Linked DNA regions of Caenorhabditis elegans. The protein of the gene in region 1 purifies or fractionates together with the protein of each later gene. This does not show direct contact. Each region holds a gene or a part of one and is shown on either strand. Other genes may lie near its edges. The genes, in order: ptp-1 and F59A1.15.

Region 1 (8,177 bases):
TGAAAAAATTTCAAATGTCTGAAAATTTGACTAAAAATGTTTCTAATTATCCAAAAAAAATTAAAATGAAGAAAAACCAATTAATTTAGTCGGAAACCGCAAAAATGTAAAGTCAAATTTAATTTGGAAGTTTTTTGATTTTTGCAAAATTATGATAACAAAAATCATTAAAAATTTAAAAAAAATTCTAAAAGTTTTCAACAGTTTTTTTTATCAACAGTTTTTTTTATCAACAGTTTTTTTTATCCGGTATATTTATACTGTTTTCTATCATCTTTAAGTTAAAAAAAAACTTGTTCCTTTTAAGATACTTTTCTTGCTTCCCTTTTTGTTCTCGAGTATTAACGGTTTTTCTAGCATACCACACACTTTTTTCGTAGAATTCCATTTTTAACGACTTGTATCATCATTGGCTCTTCACCCTCTTCTAAATCTCCTCAACATGTGTACTTTATCATTTCGACAACACTACCAAAAACTCAACCGATACATCATTGAGTTGATCCCTTCGGGGATTCTTTTCGGGTTTTGGGTTTTTGCTGGAGCGGGCTCCTCCAGCTCATTTCATATGCACAATTTGACCGCCGCTCTCTTTTTGTTGGTAAAGTGCGAAAGCGGATATGTTTTTGGCGAGAAACAGCTTAGTGTGAAAGCGAAGAAGGAGATGAAGCCATTTCTTTTGACCTCCTCCCACTTGCGTTTCCTTGAATCTCTGCGTCGTTTGGAAGAGAGTGAAGATTTTGGAAGAAAAAGAAGAAGCACTACGTTCCCTTTTTAGTTTTCTTGCAAAAAATTCAATTTGAAATTTCGAATGTTGCGATCACGCTCTACTGGTGTTTTTTTCGGCCAGCACTCATTTTTAGGTGCCCAAGAACTATCTAGATCATCTGAAATTTCAATTAGTGACGATAGGCGCTCAGGTAACCTTGTAGGTGAAGAAGGTAAAGTTTGCGGCAAATTCAGCAAATTTGCCGAAACGGGCAACTCAATTTCATGCTATTTTACTATAATTTTTTGAACAAAATTAACATTTTTGGTCAAATTTTTTAAAACCCAATTTGTGGTGTGTGCGGCAAATTTTCAAAATTGCCGAGCTTGGCAAACGGAAGTTTCGGCAAATTTGCCGCATATCCCTTTTTTAGATGCTTCAACTTACCTGTAATTTTGGAAGATTCGCTCAATTCTTTATACATATTTTTTTCGCTTTTTAAATTATTTTTCGAGATTTTTTTTTCCATTTTTTCTCAAAAATCTGAAATTTTCCAACCTATCATTTCTTCTTAGTCCCATCATCTTCTCGCCGCTCTTCTTTCCATCTACATTTTGTCTAATTTGCACTCAATTTCGTGTCATTCAATTATATCATAAGCGACTTGAGTCGACCGCTTCTCCTTTTTCTTCTTCTTTTGCAGTTTCTCCTCCCTCACCAACGTCCTTAATTTCTAATCCGCTTTTTGGTTTGTATGTGTGCTTCTCTATACTTCATCTTTCTTGCAGCAGCTCCATTTTCAATTTATCTGGGAATTATAGGCTAGATAGCTTTGTTGAAAATTTTCAGAGAAAATTTTTAAAAACTCGTATTCTAAATCTGAACGACATACTATAAACTTGAAATTTTCAAGGTAAATACCCCTAGTTCGTAGGAATATCGTATCAATTTTTGTCGTATCAATTTGACAAAAGCCTAGATATTTATTTTTCACATGAACCCATCTAAACAAAACATACAACAATTCTAGGAATGACATACATAGTACATATTATTACTACTTTTATTTGGTCTCACAGGAAATGTACTTTTTGCATCAACTATAAAGATATATAAATACCGCACTCATTTTTACATACTTTATTTCATAAATCTTTATTTAAAGCCACATAATTTAAATTTAGGGAGATGTTCCTTAATTTTGAAGAAACATACTCCTGTTTTGAAAAATGCATAGGTCTAGTTTAAAGGTAACACTATTTGAAAGGCACGTAGTTCAAATTCAAGAGTGCATACCTGAATTAGACATAATTTAAAGTTTAAGCTACAAATCCTTTTTTTGAAACACATACCCGAAAGGTACATTTAAAGGCACATAGTTTTAAAGCAAGTTAAAATTCAAAGATTAAAGGTGTATATTCCAGAAATTTTCTTTCTACAAATACCATAACCGTACTCTTATTATACTCATCTTCAACTTTTTCTCCGTTTCCCGTGCCACGTCATCAATCAAAACTTCTCGGTGTGTATGTCACATATCCTAAGAGGGCCTAATAATTGCCTCCGATTCCATCCAATTTTTGGCGGCAGCGGAGTCCAGGTCCACTTTCATTCTATTTTCGCCCTCTCCTAAAGCACACAATTCGTTTTCTAACGTTTTTTTTTTCCTTTTTTCCTTCTTCTATTGGGTCCACTCCACTTCATAATGTGTTGTTGCTGGGGTGGAAGGAAGGAAGAAGAAGCTGTCCCAGTTTTCTCATTTATTCTATTTTTCCTTCATTCCATCTGGCTCCTTATCTCTTTGGGGTTCTCAAAATTAAAATTTGGCTTTGTTTCGTTCCTTCCCAAAGAATTTTCGCGCGTTATTTATTGAATTTCCTTGGGGGCTCCGCGAGCACTTTCGCCTCATTAGATGGAAAAAGTAATGTGTGGCAGGGTGATGTAGTCATGGATTTAGCACTTGGAGATTTGAATTTGGTGCGGTATTTTTAGAAAACTTTTTTCAAAAAGTTTTTTTGAAGTTTTTAATAGAAAAATATCAAGCTTTGCAACGTTTTTTCACCAATTTAGAGCATTTTTTCTTTCCTGGAGAAAATTGTTTCTCATTGAAATAAACAAATTTTGATAAAGCTTAGAATTTGCTCTTTGATTTTGGAAAAAAATTATTTTTTTTCGATTTTTTGGAATGTGTTCTTCTGTTTCAATAGTTCGAGTTTCGGCTAATTTTTAAATTTAAAAAAAAACACTCGAAATTAACTTTCAATTTTAAAAATTCCATATTAAAAAAAAACAATTTTTAGTAGAAATTCGTAATTTCAATTAGCTTTTTTTTTCCTAATTTCGCTGCAGCGCATTTTCTCAGTAGTATTTTTTGAATATTTTGTGCTGGAGTTTAAAGGATTTCATTTTCTAATAATTAGCCATTTGAAAAACATATTATTGACGAAATTGATAAATAAAAAAAAATATTTAAAAAAACTAAAACGCGAAGACATCTGCGGGCTTTTTTATTGGTTCTAAAATTTAATTTCTCCCAAAATTTTTTACAGACAGGGAACTATTTAAAAATAGATCTAATCCGACCAAAAATTAAAAAAAATCAATAAAACACCCCGCCCATATAATGGCTCTTAACTGCATTAGCCTCTCCCTAAACTCTCAGAATTTGAGTCCATCCGTCCACTACTACTAGTCCTTCCTATTCTTCTTATGTTGCACTTATGTTCCAAAATCTTCAATTTCTTGCTACATTTATCCCTTTCTTTGACCACTCTCTCTCATCTGTTTTTCATTTCCCTATTCCTATTTTTTGAGGCTTTTCCTCCTCCCGGCTAAACAAAAAAAACTATAAATTGAGCAGCAAATTGGTTTTGTCTCTCGCTCACTCAGCTGACCTCGTCGAACATCTCTTCGAAAGTTTTTGTTTTTGTTTTCCTCCGCTTCCTATCTCTCTCTTTGCCTGTCTCTTCACTCATTTTTAACTATTTCAGACGGCTTCTGTTCCTTTTTGCACAATAATGACATAAGCAGCTATGCGTCTCGGATCGAATAGTTACGATGTACAGAGGACGGAGGCAATTGGTCAAACGCCTGTCAAGACACCGCCTCCAAATCAGATCCGATGTACAGTTACCTTCCTTGATAGCACTTCTTATCATTTTGAAATTGAGGTGAGAGGTTTTTTTAATGTAATTATTATTTTTGAAAGCTTGGCTTTATGAGAAAATTTGACGTACTTGTACGGAAAATTTGTATTTTTTTCAGCTATAAAAGAAATCTAGGAGATGATTCAAAAAGCCTTTGACTGACAAATTATATTGTTTATGATTTGGAGAATTTTTCGTAAATTTTCCAAAAATTTGTAGAACATTTTTATTTGGAAAAATTAAAATTTGAATTTCGCGCCAATATTTTTGAAAAATCAAAATGGGGCTTCTTCATTGCGCTCACTTCTGTTGAGGCTGAGCAAGCTGTATATTATAAATTTGAAAGTTTTAAAACTTTTTTTAGAAACTCAAAGTTTTCCGCATATTGTTAATTGATAATTTTTCATGGAATTTTTTTGAAAAGAAAATATCAATTTTGCAAAAAAAATAGTTGTTAATCGTATAAATTTCCACATTTTCAACTAAAATATCTTTTAATTGACTTCATTTTTGTATTTTTGTATTGAATCAAAATATATTCCAATTTGAAATATTCAAGATGGTATTTACTTGGCATCAACAACTTTCAATTAGCCGGTTGTTTTCGATTTCAGTTAAGAAAAAAGTGCAGAAGAAGTGCATTAAATTCTTATATGATTCACCAGGTCTACTGTGCCTACCTACATTCACGTAGGCAGGTAGGTAGGCAGGCCGCAGGAAACAAGTTACTCAATTTTCAGAAAAACTCCCTGGGAATCGTACTTTTAGAAAAAGTATTCAACTATTTGGAGATTATCGAAAAAGATTATTTTGGCCTCGTCTTCATTGCAGTCGATAATTCTAGTGCTCAGCAGAAGGTTTTTTCAACTTTCCAAGGCTTTTCCTACAATAATAATTTCAGAAATGGCTGGATCCGTCGAAAAACTTGCGAAAACAAATGATTTGCCCACCGTATCATTTGTTCTTCCGTGTCAAATTCTACGTACGGGACCCGAATCGTCTACGAGACGAGTTTACGAGGTTCCAATTCTATCAACAAGTTAGGCAGAATTTGGAAGAAGGAAGGCTGCCGTGTAATGAAGGATCACTTGCGTTGTTGGCTAGTTATGTGGTACAAGGTTAGTGAGAAGGTGTGCCTGCCTGCCTACGCCTACCTACGATCCCTTTGTAGGCATGTGCGTAGGCATTATTGTGCCTTCTATAGACTATAGTTGCGCATATGATCTGATGTTTTTGGTTTGTAATTGCAAATTTTGTATACACCATATTTGACGAGCAAATTTCAAATGTTTAATGCATCACAATTGACGCGCAAGTTTCATATGATGCATTTGGTCCGTAATTTCAGTATTCGAATGCACCATGTTTGATGAGAAAATGTTCAAATTTCAAAGATTCTGCTCTGCTCAGTGTCATGGTTCTAATGCATCAGATGTGACGCGCAATTTTTTTTTGTTCACAGTACCATATTCCACGCAAAATCGAAATTTGATAATAAAACTGATTTTTACAGCGGAAGTCGGAGACTTTGAGGAGAAAACTCATGGAATGTCCCGGACGTGTCTGTGCTACAAAATTCAATTTGCTACTCTTCCAGATGATTTTTCGGATCGCGTCGCAGAACTTCATCAGCTTCATATGTAGGTTTTTTAGGATTTTATGGAAGGCAGGCAAATCTGTATACCTACATCAAATGCCTTTTATCCTGATTTTTTTTCAGCGGTCAAACCCCTGACGTAGCAGAGCAGAACTTTCTTGACCACGCGCGGCGTCTCGAAATGTACGGAATGGATGTTTATGACGGAGTGGACGCAAATCATCTTCCGATCGAAATTGGAGTAGGAGCAGTTGGAATTAAAGTATTTCACGAGGGAATCAAGATGAATGAGTACGCGTGGGTACGAATAAGAAAACTTAGCTTCAAGAAAAAACAATTTCAAGTTTTGGTGGCTAATGAGGATGGAGTGGTGAGTTTTTGGCTATGGAATCTGTGAAAAAATTCGCCTAAAAAACTAAAAGTATATAGCACAATTTATTCCAATTTTGAAAATTAGGCAATAGGCAGGCACGTAGGCATAATTTTAAGTTTGTGCAAAAAAGTATGACGTATTGGTGCGTTATTTGCCTTGTTTTCAATTAGAACCTTGATGCCTCATATTACACACAAAAAAAAACAATTAGATTCGGAGAGACTTTATGAAAAAAAATTTCTTTTTTTTAAATTATGGCTGAACTTTGACGTACAAATTTCTAATATTCGGTTACAAAATCCTAATTTCAGAGCGAAACAATCATGATCTTCAACATCATGTCCGCGAAAATCTGCAAACTTCTCTGGAAATGCTGCATCGAGCAGCACACGTTCTTCCGGCTGAAAACTCCTCCAAAAACGCCGCAAAGGAAGGTTTTCAACTTTGGATCGAAATTCCGATATAGTGGACGAACCGAATATCAGACACTTGAGGAGAATGAGCATCGGAAGTCAGCTGGACATCGGAATTTTCATAGGTGAGAATTTATCTTTGAAAATTGATTTAGAAATTAAAATTTTGAAAAAGCCACCCCATAGCTGGTCGTGGAACAGTTTTCATGGCAAGGTCACTCCCCCCCCCCCCTTTACAGTAACCCTGACACTGCTCAAAATTCAAAGTTTTGTCTATTTTGATCTAATTATAGTTTGCTGTATATCCAGTTGTCCCTTTTTGTTTTCGTTTTTGAGAAAACAAATTATGATCCCTATAAAAAATTGGGCCCATGACCACGTTATTCACATATTTTTCTAGAAATGAGCCTTGAAAATTCCGATATTCTCAATGCAGGCGATAGGTTAATTTATTTTTAAAAAGTATAAAAAATTCAGCGCAACATGTCAACATTTTCCAAATAATAAGTTGCAAAAGTTGGCTCAAAATGAAACTTTATAGAAAAATGTTCAAAAATCCTTCAAAAACAAAAAAAACCTACCTGCCTGTCTGCCTCCTTTTAGTGCCTACCTCATGCCTATATGTAAAGTGTTAAAATTTTCATTTCCCAGTAAAATTTCGGAATATTAACGATGTGACACTAGATTTTATGTAAAAATGCAGGAATCTGCAGTAGGTTTTTTCTAAAAATTTCGTTCAAAAAATTTCAAAAAACTATTTTTCAAATAATTTCAGTGTTCTTTTAAAACAGATTCAAAAATTCATGTGTAAGATTTATTTCAGTGGCAAGAATACTCTTACCGAATTTAATTTTTTTTTGAAAATTCTGAAACGAAATTCGAGGGGCCAAAAAGTTTCAATTAACCCCCAAACTTTTAGAATGTAATCAAAAAACTTTTTCAGATCCCTCTCAAAATCTTCTTTCCTCCGATCAACGTTTTCCGGCAACACACAATCAATTGATTCATCCCGTTATACCAACACAACAACTACAGACTCTCCAGAACTTCCGTCCAGGTAACAATTTTAATATGTCATGGTTATGGCAATTATTCGTTTAATAACGACACAAATTGCCAAAACCAAGCCTTTTCTCGCACTTCTCTCCGCACACGCTTTTCCTATTCTCACAGTGGTCAATTGTTGGCACGTCGTCTGTTGAGTGCCGCCCGTCACGACACGGATTCCTCCGATGCACTTGGATATGCTTCCGATGGTGCAGTTGTCTGTGCACCACTCACTACACCACTTTCACCACGACGCACTCGAGACTATGCCACAGATAGGTAATTAGTTTGTATCCAATTCCTGCTATTTGTACAGAGCATCTTAAGAGAGCAGTTCTTTAATATAGTACAAGAATACAACCACTTTTTCAAGAATATCAAATTCTAAAGCCAACCAATCATCGACATTTGTCCCGCCCTTTGCAAATCGCTGATTGGTCGGTGTCGATAACTTCTCAAATAACGTTTGTTGGGTAATCCATAGACAGGGGTCGTTTGTGTCACGACATGTTCAACTTAACGAACTACTACTACTGTTTCAAGAACTCATTTTCAAATTCGCGCGCGCACGTGAGAGGGCCCACCAATCAGCGACACAGGCCACGCCCTTTGCACTTCGCTGATTGGCCGACGATTTCTATGAGATTAGTGCCCAAAGCGGCATGTAAATTACTTTGCCCATCAAAAAATCTTACTTCTTTTGTTCAGCAATTTTCCACATAACTGACCAATTTGGTGGTCATTTCAAAAATCGTTCTAAAATCTACTAATAGGTTCTTTTCCATTTGATTTACAAGTCTTTTTCTCCTTATCACTTCCGTCTCCACTTTCTCACTTTTGTCTGTGTCGTTCTTCTGATAAGTTCATACACATACACTGAACAATTTCTTGC
Region 2 (9,014 bases), on another chromosome or scaffold:
ACTACCGGTTACAGTAGTATGTGCCAGTCTTGCATCGACTTTTTGGAGCATTTACCCGGATTTTTGGACAAATATTCACCAGATCTTGGAATTGATGCGGTAAGGTGGAGAAATACGGTAAAACGAAAAAATTTTAGTATTGCCGGGGGTCGAACCCTGGTCTTGTCGGCCACAGCCAAGCCTCTACCCAACTGAGCCACTTGACCATCTTTAAAATTTCGGAAAACTTGCGTCTGGCGCTAATTTTAGCGTGGAATTTGAATTTACTTATTTTTCTCCAAAAATTCACTGAAATTGCGAAAAACTACATAAAATCTCGATATTAATTTTCAAAAATACAATTTTTGTCGATTTACTGGGAATTAACATTAACTAACAGTTTTCGATGCAAAAATAACAAAAAAAAAATAGCCACCGATGGGGTCGAACCCCTGACCTTCTGAACCATAGTCAAACCTCTTCCCAACTGAGCCACGAAGACACTTTTTGAAAACCTTCAAAATAACGACCATAGGATAAAATTTAATGCTCTTTCTGATTTTCAAGTCAATTTTGCTTCTAAAACCACCTAAAAGTCACAAAAATCAATTTCAGGACACCCTCTGAACGTCGCTAACAGCTCACATGCCATCCATCGGAGACCCATGCTTCAAACTTTTCGCAGAATATTGGCCGACCAACAAAAACGCGACAACTGTTCAAATTTGCTCGTTTATCCATTTTTGTTGAGAAAATTATGTTTTTTTAATAAAAGGGTGCAGGGAATAAATGTCTTTGTTAAAATTCTTTAATTGCAATACATATCACAGACGGCGTTTCCGAAATCGATAAGTTGAGGACGGAATGTGTCAAAAACGTTGCCAATGTTGAAATTGTTCACCAGAGCCATACATTTTGGCTTGAGAGTTTTGTGAAGTTGGAAGCACGCAAGGTTCTGGAAATTTTTTTAAAATTTCCTCTGAAAAGGATGTCAATCTTAAGGTTTTCAGTGTTAAACTACTTTTTCTAAACAAAAAAAAAACAAAAAATTTGCCGCCGGCGGGGATCGAACCCCAGTCTTGTGCGCCTTGGCTAAACCTCTACCCAACTGAGCCATTGCATCATTTTTTCGAAATTTGAAAAAAACAGCTTTTATGGTCAAAAAAAATGAGTTAGGGCCATTTTTCATTGAATCTAACTCCGAATTTCGATTTTAGACCTCTGTTCAGACTATTTCGATGCCTTTTTTCGGAAAATTCACAACAAAAAATCCGGATTTCGGTAAAAACGCGATTTTCAAAAAACATTTAATCTTCTTCATAGTGATCCAACTTAACAAAAATATTTGCTCTTAGTGGGGATTGAACCCTTGACCTTCTGCGCCGAATCCAAACCTCTACCCGGTTGAGCCACCCGATAAAAAATTTGTGCTAAAAACGCCTCCAAGATCAAAATCTCGCGCCAAATTCGAACTTTTCATTAGTTTTTGTTTCCAACTCACCATATATCCCGTCATTTCTGCCCAACTCTTCGGCACTTTCTCCTCCCAATTCTTATTACACATCTCGCAGAATTGTCCCTGAGCCTCTTGAATATCAGCGAAAGCACTAGCGGCAAGAACGAAAATTGCAGAGAAAATAAGCAGAAGCTTCATGTTTTGGGCCTCCCGGTGTGGTTAATGAGTGATAAGTGATTAGCAAAAACTGCAGAGGATCTCTACAGTACCGAAATTTGAAATTTAAATTGATTGTTTTACATATGATTTGCATTATTTCCATTTTGTCACCAAACACCACGTCTTTTGGAACGTCTAATATGGAAATTTTTCGTGGGAAAAAACTCGAATTTTAGGAATTTTTGAAGATTTTCCCAAGAAAATTGGTATAAAAATGAGTAGGATTCTCTTCAAATTTCAAAAAAAACTTCCAGATTCCCTCCAATATGAAGCTTCTCCTTCTCACTTTGCTCCTGGCACTCTGTATTTCTCCGATATTCGCTAATAAATGCGATTTTTGCACGAAAAGTGTGAAGGCGATCAAGGATGGCAAGGGATTGGCCTATATGGCTAATTTGTCAGCGAAACAAATCGACGATTATGTGAAGAAGCATGTAGAGGTGAGTAACTGAAAAATAAAAATAAATTGGGTGCAGTGGGGGTCGAACCCCTGACCTTCTGCGCCGCAACTAAACCTCTACCCTACTGAGCCACCGAGACCAATTTTAAAATTTGCGGGAAAACGACTTCCAAATCCAAAAATTGCGTAGATTTCAAATTTGTATACATAATCGCATTAAGTCTGACCTAAAAAACTCAAAAATGAAATTTTTCAAAAAAAAAGAACAAAATTCTGATAATTTTTGAAAATTTAAATTTTCTTTTATACTCTGAAGATCAAAATGATTTTAGTCGCAGAAACAAAAAAAAACAAAAATTTTCGCCGCTGTGGGGGTTGAACCCCTGACCTTCTGCGTCATAACCAAACCCGTACCCAGCTGAGCCACTTGGTCACTTAAAAAGTTTGCAGAAAAAGCTTCCAGGCCCAATTTTAGTGTAGATTTCCAATTTTGAATTACCATCGCTCAAAAATCGCTGACATTTGAGTTTTTTCAGAAAAATTGCTCCGGATCCACATGTCCAAAGCTCATCAAATCCCTTGTAGAGATCGCAGATCAACTCGATGATGACTTGGATTCTACCCCACAGGAATTGTGCAAATTCGTATATTTTTGTTGATTTCCATAAATTTTTGAATGGAAATAAATGTTAAAACAATAGATTTTCTCGAATTTACAAACAAATTATCTTGAGAATTTTAGTTTTAAAAAAATGGGAAAATTTCAAACAATTATTCAGTTAGAATTTTTTTCGAAAGCGATCTACTTATTAAATTTGTACAATTTTGTGTTGTATCCAAAAAAGTTTTAGTCAATTTTTATTATTTTCCAAGTTCACGCTATCCACATATTTTGCCACAATGCTTCCCTCCCCTATATTTTCAATTTCCAATCATTTCTGTATTTCAAAAATGTTTTCGGAACTGAGTTCGTCACAAACTTCAAATTCTAAAACAAAAAATGATGAGAGAGTCGAGACGGAGCTAAAGCCAAGCTCATCCGATGCATCAATCAATGATGGGAGAATGTTCGGCAGTTTGGAGGAGCTTATGACGTATATTGGTGAGTTTTGGTGGGAGTTACGCCAAAATTAACTATTGCAAAATATTGTGCGGATAATTTTGAACATTTTTTTTATTTGAAAGATTTTTGGTATCTGAATCCTACGCAGAGATACGACAGGTTAAAGTTTAGCGGCGAGAGAGTGTGGGGGAGGGGAGAGCGCAAGCGCGTGAGCTACCTGCGCCTCTCTTCCCGCCACACTCTCTAGCAGGCCTTCCACGAAAGCGGTGCTCTCGCCACGCGGACCTGCACAGCGTCGGCCGCAGTACACAGAGTGTTTATGCGTGAATTTTCAAGATCTAAACAGAATATTCAACCAAAAGTTTTAGGAATTATGAAATATTTTTTTGAAAAACTTAAAAGAAAGTTGTAGATCATAAAATTTTGAGTATTTCCGTAGTTGAAAGTTTTCGAATATCTTCATTCTCCGCGGAGCTGCACGCGTTTTAAGCTTGTACGGCGAGAGAGTGTTGGAGGAGGGGAGAGCGCAGGCGCGCGAGCTTACTGCGTCTTTCTCCCCACCACACTCTCTAGTCAAGTTTTTTGACGCGCATGTCTTTTAAACGAATAGAGATACTGAAAAACTTTCAATTGACAAAATTATCAGCGTACAATTTTCTACCCAAATGTCAATTATTCCAGGATCCAACTACCCGCACTACCGAAAAACCGTGTTTCCAATCTTCATCGTCTACTTCTTCATCTATTTCTCCTCCAGATTCCTAACAGAGACCCAAAAGCTTAAATCTCTGGAAACTATGAAACACAACGGAACAAATGAGTATTTCTACTCAAAATGTCTCCCAAACAATATGGATGATTCACTGAAAGTTGCTGAAAAAGTGAATTTCATTCCAGTTCGAGTACCAAAAGGAGAGCTGACTATTGTGATGGATACTTTCTTCATGTTTGCCACGACTACTTTGAGCCCCAGAAAGCTGGTAATGTGTTGTCTGGGATTTGTGAGCACCGCGTATTTTGTGATGGCACATTTCGACTCTCAAATTCAGATGAGCATTTATGTTTCGCAGATTTTTTCGGAGGTGAGCGCATTGAAAATATGTTAATGAGCATTTCATCAGTTGGAAGTTTTTTGATATCTCTAACGGTTGAGGAGATATGAAGGTTTGAAGTCAGCGCAGCGAGAGAGTAGGGGAGGGGGAGAGACGCAGTCGGCGCGCCGGCCTGCGTCTCCCCTCACCCTACACTCTCACGCCGCCCAAGCTTTAAACGCGTGTATCTCAGCGGAGAATAAAGATATTCGAAAACTTTCAACTACGGAAATATTCAAAATTTTATGATCTACAACTTTCACTTAAGTTTACTTAAATTTTTTTCAGATATACCGCATCGTTGCCTTAATCACAATTGCTGAGTCGGTTCCAAAGTATCACAGAATGCCGGCGTTGATCCTCCTGGAAATTGGTAGCTTTGAGCTTACAAAGTCTACGAAAAATTCAAATTTTCAGTCCGCACAGCTTCACACACACTTTCCACTGTAGCCGTTCGTCTACCATCAGAATTCTCCATGGATTTGTCGTACAGCTTTGAGATTTTTGGATTTCTCACGATCATCATGGGATTTGTCACTTATTAGTGGGTTTTTATTGACGAAACTGTGAATCTCAAGCCAAAAATTTACTGAAAATTTAAATTTTGGATCAAAAATGGAACAAAAATCTAAAATCAAAGCCGGGAATTGACTGGAAAATTTGAATTTCCCGGTGAAAATTAACAAAAAAATTGAATTTCCTGGGAAAAATTGGCTGAAAATATAAATTTCCCGCTGAAAATTGACTAAAAATCCAATATTTCAGCACATTCCACGACTCTCTGTACAGTTTGTTGGCTCGAAGTAAGACGGATCAAATGCAGGATCGGGTGACTGAGATCTTCAAAAAATCCGACATCTACCAGGCGCCAGATGCCGTAATCGATCAGATCGCATTCGAAAATTTCGAGAATAATGATAACGCTATCGAGATCTTCGTGAAAACGCTGAAATCGTTCAAGCTAATTCAAGAAGTGCTCGTTTGTGGTGTGATCTCCGGCGCCAGCCTTGCTGTCGACGCTTTCTTCGAAGCCGAAACCATCAAGCACGCCGAGCTCATGTTCTTCGAGAAAACTCTGATACCCATGACGTCATACACTCTATCAGCCATTTTGCTCCTGATTCTGAGCTTTTTGATGCCAACTCGACGGATTCTCCCAGTGATTTTGACTATTCCAGTGATTTTTCTCACGACATCGGTTATTTATGTGATTCCGGCGATTTTCAAGACATATGACAAGTGCTCTCAACATTATACCATTGAGCGTGAGTAGAACACAAAATTTTAAGCATTTTATCAGTTGGAAGTTTTTCGATACCTCTTACCGGTCAGGAGATATACGCGTTTAAAGGTTTGGCGGCGAGAGAGTGTGTGTGCCGGGGAGAGTGCAACGCACCGCCTGCGTCTCTCCCCGCTTACTATCTCTCACCCGCTAACTTCAAACGCTTGTATCTCCTAAACGGTGAGAGTTATCGAAAAACTTTCAACTGAGGAAATGATCAACATAAAATTTTGCGTCAGATAAGTTATATTTCCAGATTCTGTCTTTCCGTTCTACTTGGCAATCGGGATATTTACCAGTGCTCTCACAGATATTGTTCGCTTTTTTGTGAAAGTTCATTTGGTAACCATTTTCTCTTTTTTTTATAATTCAACTAACTTTCAATTTCCCTCAGCTTGAAGTAATGCCTGTGTTGATCCGTGCACCAATCATTGCGGTGCTCTATTTTGTGCAATACTCATTTGATGGAAATGTTCGCGGACTCTACTCGATGGATAGTATCGGCGGGGAGATGATTCTGGTGTTGATCTCGATTTTGGCAATGCTGATTTTGTTGATAACTCCGAGAAAGAAGAATGACATGAATGTGTTTTTTTCAGAATATAATGTAAGTAACTGTAGAAAAGTTTAGAGAAAACATTTTCATGAATTCTTGTTCAGAACAACGATAGACAAAGGGCATGCCCACCAGCACCGGAATTTGTGAACTAGATACTGGAACAATTGTCTATAAATAAATTTTTCTAATAGAAAATGTCTCGCTGAACATTTTGAAAGTTTTTCGGTATCTCTTACGGCTACAATGATACGCAAATTCGAAGTCTAAGAGGGGAAGTTGACAGTTAAGAAGGTACGTGAAAAAACTACAAAACGAAGTTAGTATCAAATATTAAATACACTTTGAATTATCACAATGAACGTAGAATTTTCCGCTGACAATTTCTTCAATTGGAAGTTTTCAGATATCTCAAACCACTAAGGAGATACTGCTATTTAAAGTTTTGCTAGCGAGACAGCGAAGGGGGGGAAGAGACGCAGAGAAGGCACCAGAGTGTACTCTCCCCTTCCCCCATACTCTCTCGCCTCTAAACTTTGAAACGGCATAACTCTGCGGGGAATTGAGATATCAGAAATGTGAAAATGGAGAAATGCATAGAAATAAAATTTATATTGGAAAAACTCGATTTCCCGGCGTTGTAACTGATAGTTCAGGTACTGTAACCTTTACAAAAACCTTCCTAATTGCATTTCGGTAGTCTCTTATAAAATACATAGGTACTAGGGAATCCATGACTGGCTGAGTGGCCATAAGCGACAAAATTATGGATTCCACTGGACCTGGCTCAAATTTCAAAACTGGAAAGCCTAGAAGGCACCCGGCAGGGAAGAAAAGCAGAAAAATTGGGAAAATAGTCTGAAAAACTAGGACGCGGAATAGTTGATGCTGCATTTCCATGGTTCTTCTCGACTGGAAATTCGCGAAACTATGCGATTTTTGAAGGAAGACCCGCTGAAGTTTCAGCCAGCAAAATCCAATTATGAAAAAACCAATGGTGTGAAAAAATAATGTTTTGAACCGAAAATTTCTCGTTAGACCTACAATAATTCCATCTAAGTTTGCTAGAAATAGAAAATCTGGGAGACTTGCCTGCTCCACGCCAGTTTTTGGATCTTTTCTCTGAATTTGGCACTTATTAGTTTAAGTTTGAAATACTCATAAACTCACATAGAAGATCGATACGGCATAGGTATAATCAGAAACTGACAGGTTGAAAGTTTGCAGCATGTTTTCTCTGCAAACGTGAGCTCAATGGTTTTAAAAATGCTTCAAGTTTTGACATGTTTAATAGAAAATTTCCTGCTGATCATTTCATCAGTTGAAAGTTTTTTGGTATCGCTTACGGTTGAAGAGTTAGACGTATTCGAAGTCGAGAATCAGAAATAGTGTGGGAGGGGGAGAGGCGCAGAGAGGCGCGCCTCTCTGTGTCTCTCCCCCACCCACACTGCCTCGTCGCATAACCTTCAAATCATCATTTATGTGCGGGGAATCGAGATATCAAAAAAATTTCCAACTATTGGAAGATTCAGAATTTTAAGCCTAAAAGTTTGTTGATTAATTTGACGTTAATTGTCTGAAAATTAATAGAAAATTTGATAGAATTGTTTGTTGGAAATCAAAAAATACATTACCCATTCGACATAAAATTTTGCGCTGATCATTTCTTCAGTTTAAAGTTTTTCGGTATCTCTCACGGATCGAGAGTTAAACGCATTTGAAGTAGAGAAGCAGAAATAGTGTGTGGATGGGGGAGAGACGCAGACGACGCGCCACTCTGCGTCTCTCCCCCTCCCACACTGTTTCGTTGCATAACCTTTCATTATGCATAATCATCATGTCTCCGCGGAAAAACGAGATATCAAAAAATTTCCAAATATTGAAATGTACACAATTTTATGATCGACATTTTTCAACTTAAAAAAACCTGATATACTCCTCCACTTCGCCATTTTCGCCGGCAAAATAGACAGCTGAAAACCACCAATCCAACGTCACAAAGAGGAAAACACCAATGAATATTGAAAAATAAGGAAACGAGAAATAATATAGTCGCTGAGGTTTTATAACGGCCAAATATCGATAGATGAAGTGAAAAGCCAGGAGATACAAAGTTATTCCATACGTGGAACAGTTTAGAGCTAAAAGTGTTGTCAGTTTTTATCGCAAAAAATATTCTGGACTAACCTAAATACCATAAATTCAACTTTCTAGGTAATCCAAGAGGATTTTCACTGAAAATTATATATGAAGCTTTGTAAAAATGCAATTTCGGTTGACACGTAACATTTATAAAACCGAATGAAATTCCAAAGAGACTGAAAATTAGCATAAGATATTTGTAGTTTCCAAGGTACGACGGACTTTTCTTGACGATTTAAAATATTAGCAGAGCATTTGAATAAAGTGATAAGGCTGATATGATATAAATTTGGACTTCCGAGAAGTTTTGGTACATTTTGAAAAGAATAATGGCTGAGTAGAGATTGAAAAGGGGAAAAGGCAGAAAAAAAAACAAAATTGAGATATCACCTGTTTCTGATTTCCAATTGAGCCTAGAAATAGAAAATTTAAAAAAAAATCACAATTTAAAACTTGCGAAAAACTTTTTCACTTCCCAACACAATCGACGCAAAATTCAATTTTGATCATTTCTCCTGTTGAAAGTTGTTCGATATCTTTTACCGTTCAGGAGATATACGCGTTTGAAGCAGAGAGGGGGAAATAGTGTGGGAGGGGGAGAGACGCAGACGGAGCGTGCGCTCTCCCCTCCCCGCGACATTTCAAAATGGTGAAATAATCAGAATTATGTGATAAAACCGATTTTATTGTTGTTGTTCCTCCAATTGTTGAATAAATATTTTTGCGAATCAAAAATTGAAAGTTTCCAAAAACCGCCGATATTCCGTACTTGTTTTTTTTGCTGGGAGCACTCTGCACCTGAATTCAAGTGCTAGACATATTATGA

What was found.
Region 2: the proteins of ptp-1 (region 1) and F59A1.15 fractionate together in Caenorhabditis elegans (co-fractionation; one large-scale study listed by BioGRID). This does not show direct contact.

The regions. Positions count from the first base shown.
Region 1 is NC_003281.10:3,587,029-3,595,205, forward strand, and holds the start of ptp-1 (Tyrosine-protein phosphatase 1), read left to right. Parts: upstream 1-3,695; 5' UTR 3,696-3,741; coding exon 3,742-3,879; intron 3,880-4,595; coding exon 4,596-4,712; intron 4,713-4,756; coding exon 4,757-4,973; intron 4,974-5,368; coding exon 5,369-5,495; intron 5,496-5,575; coding exon 5,576-5,822; intron 5,823-6,136; coding exon 6,137-6,363; intron 6,364-7,181; coding exon 7,182-7,295; intron 7,296-7,411; coding exon 7,412-7,564; intron 7,565-8,177.
Region 2 is NC_003283.11:17,677,848-17,686,861, reverse strand, and holds F59A1.15 (Adenylate and Guanylate cyclase catalytic domain containing protein), read left to right. Parts: upstream 1-2,998; 5' UTR 2,999-3,005; coding exon 3,006-3,156; intron 3,157-3,798; coding exon 3,799-4,199; intron 4,200-4,496; coding exon 4,497-4,581; intron 4,582-4,625; coding exon 4,626-4,752; intron 4,753-4,973; coding exon 4,974-5,473; intron 5,474-5,746; coding exon 5,747-5,832; intron 5,833-5,884; coding exon 5,885-6,097; intron 6,098-6,150; coding exon 6,151-6,201; 3' UTR 6,202-6,245; downstream 6,246-9,014. Other genes in the region: F59A1.18 (Saposin B-type domain-containing protein), read left to right, coding at 1-99, 595-606; F59A1.6 (Saposin B-type domain-containing protein), read right to left, coding at 788-934, 1,481-1,633; F59A1.16 (Saposin B-type domain-containing protein), read left to right, coding at 1,921-2,094, 2,591-2,713.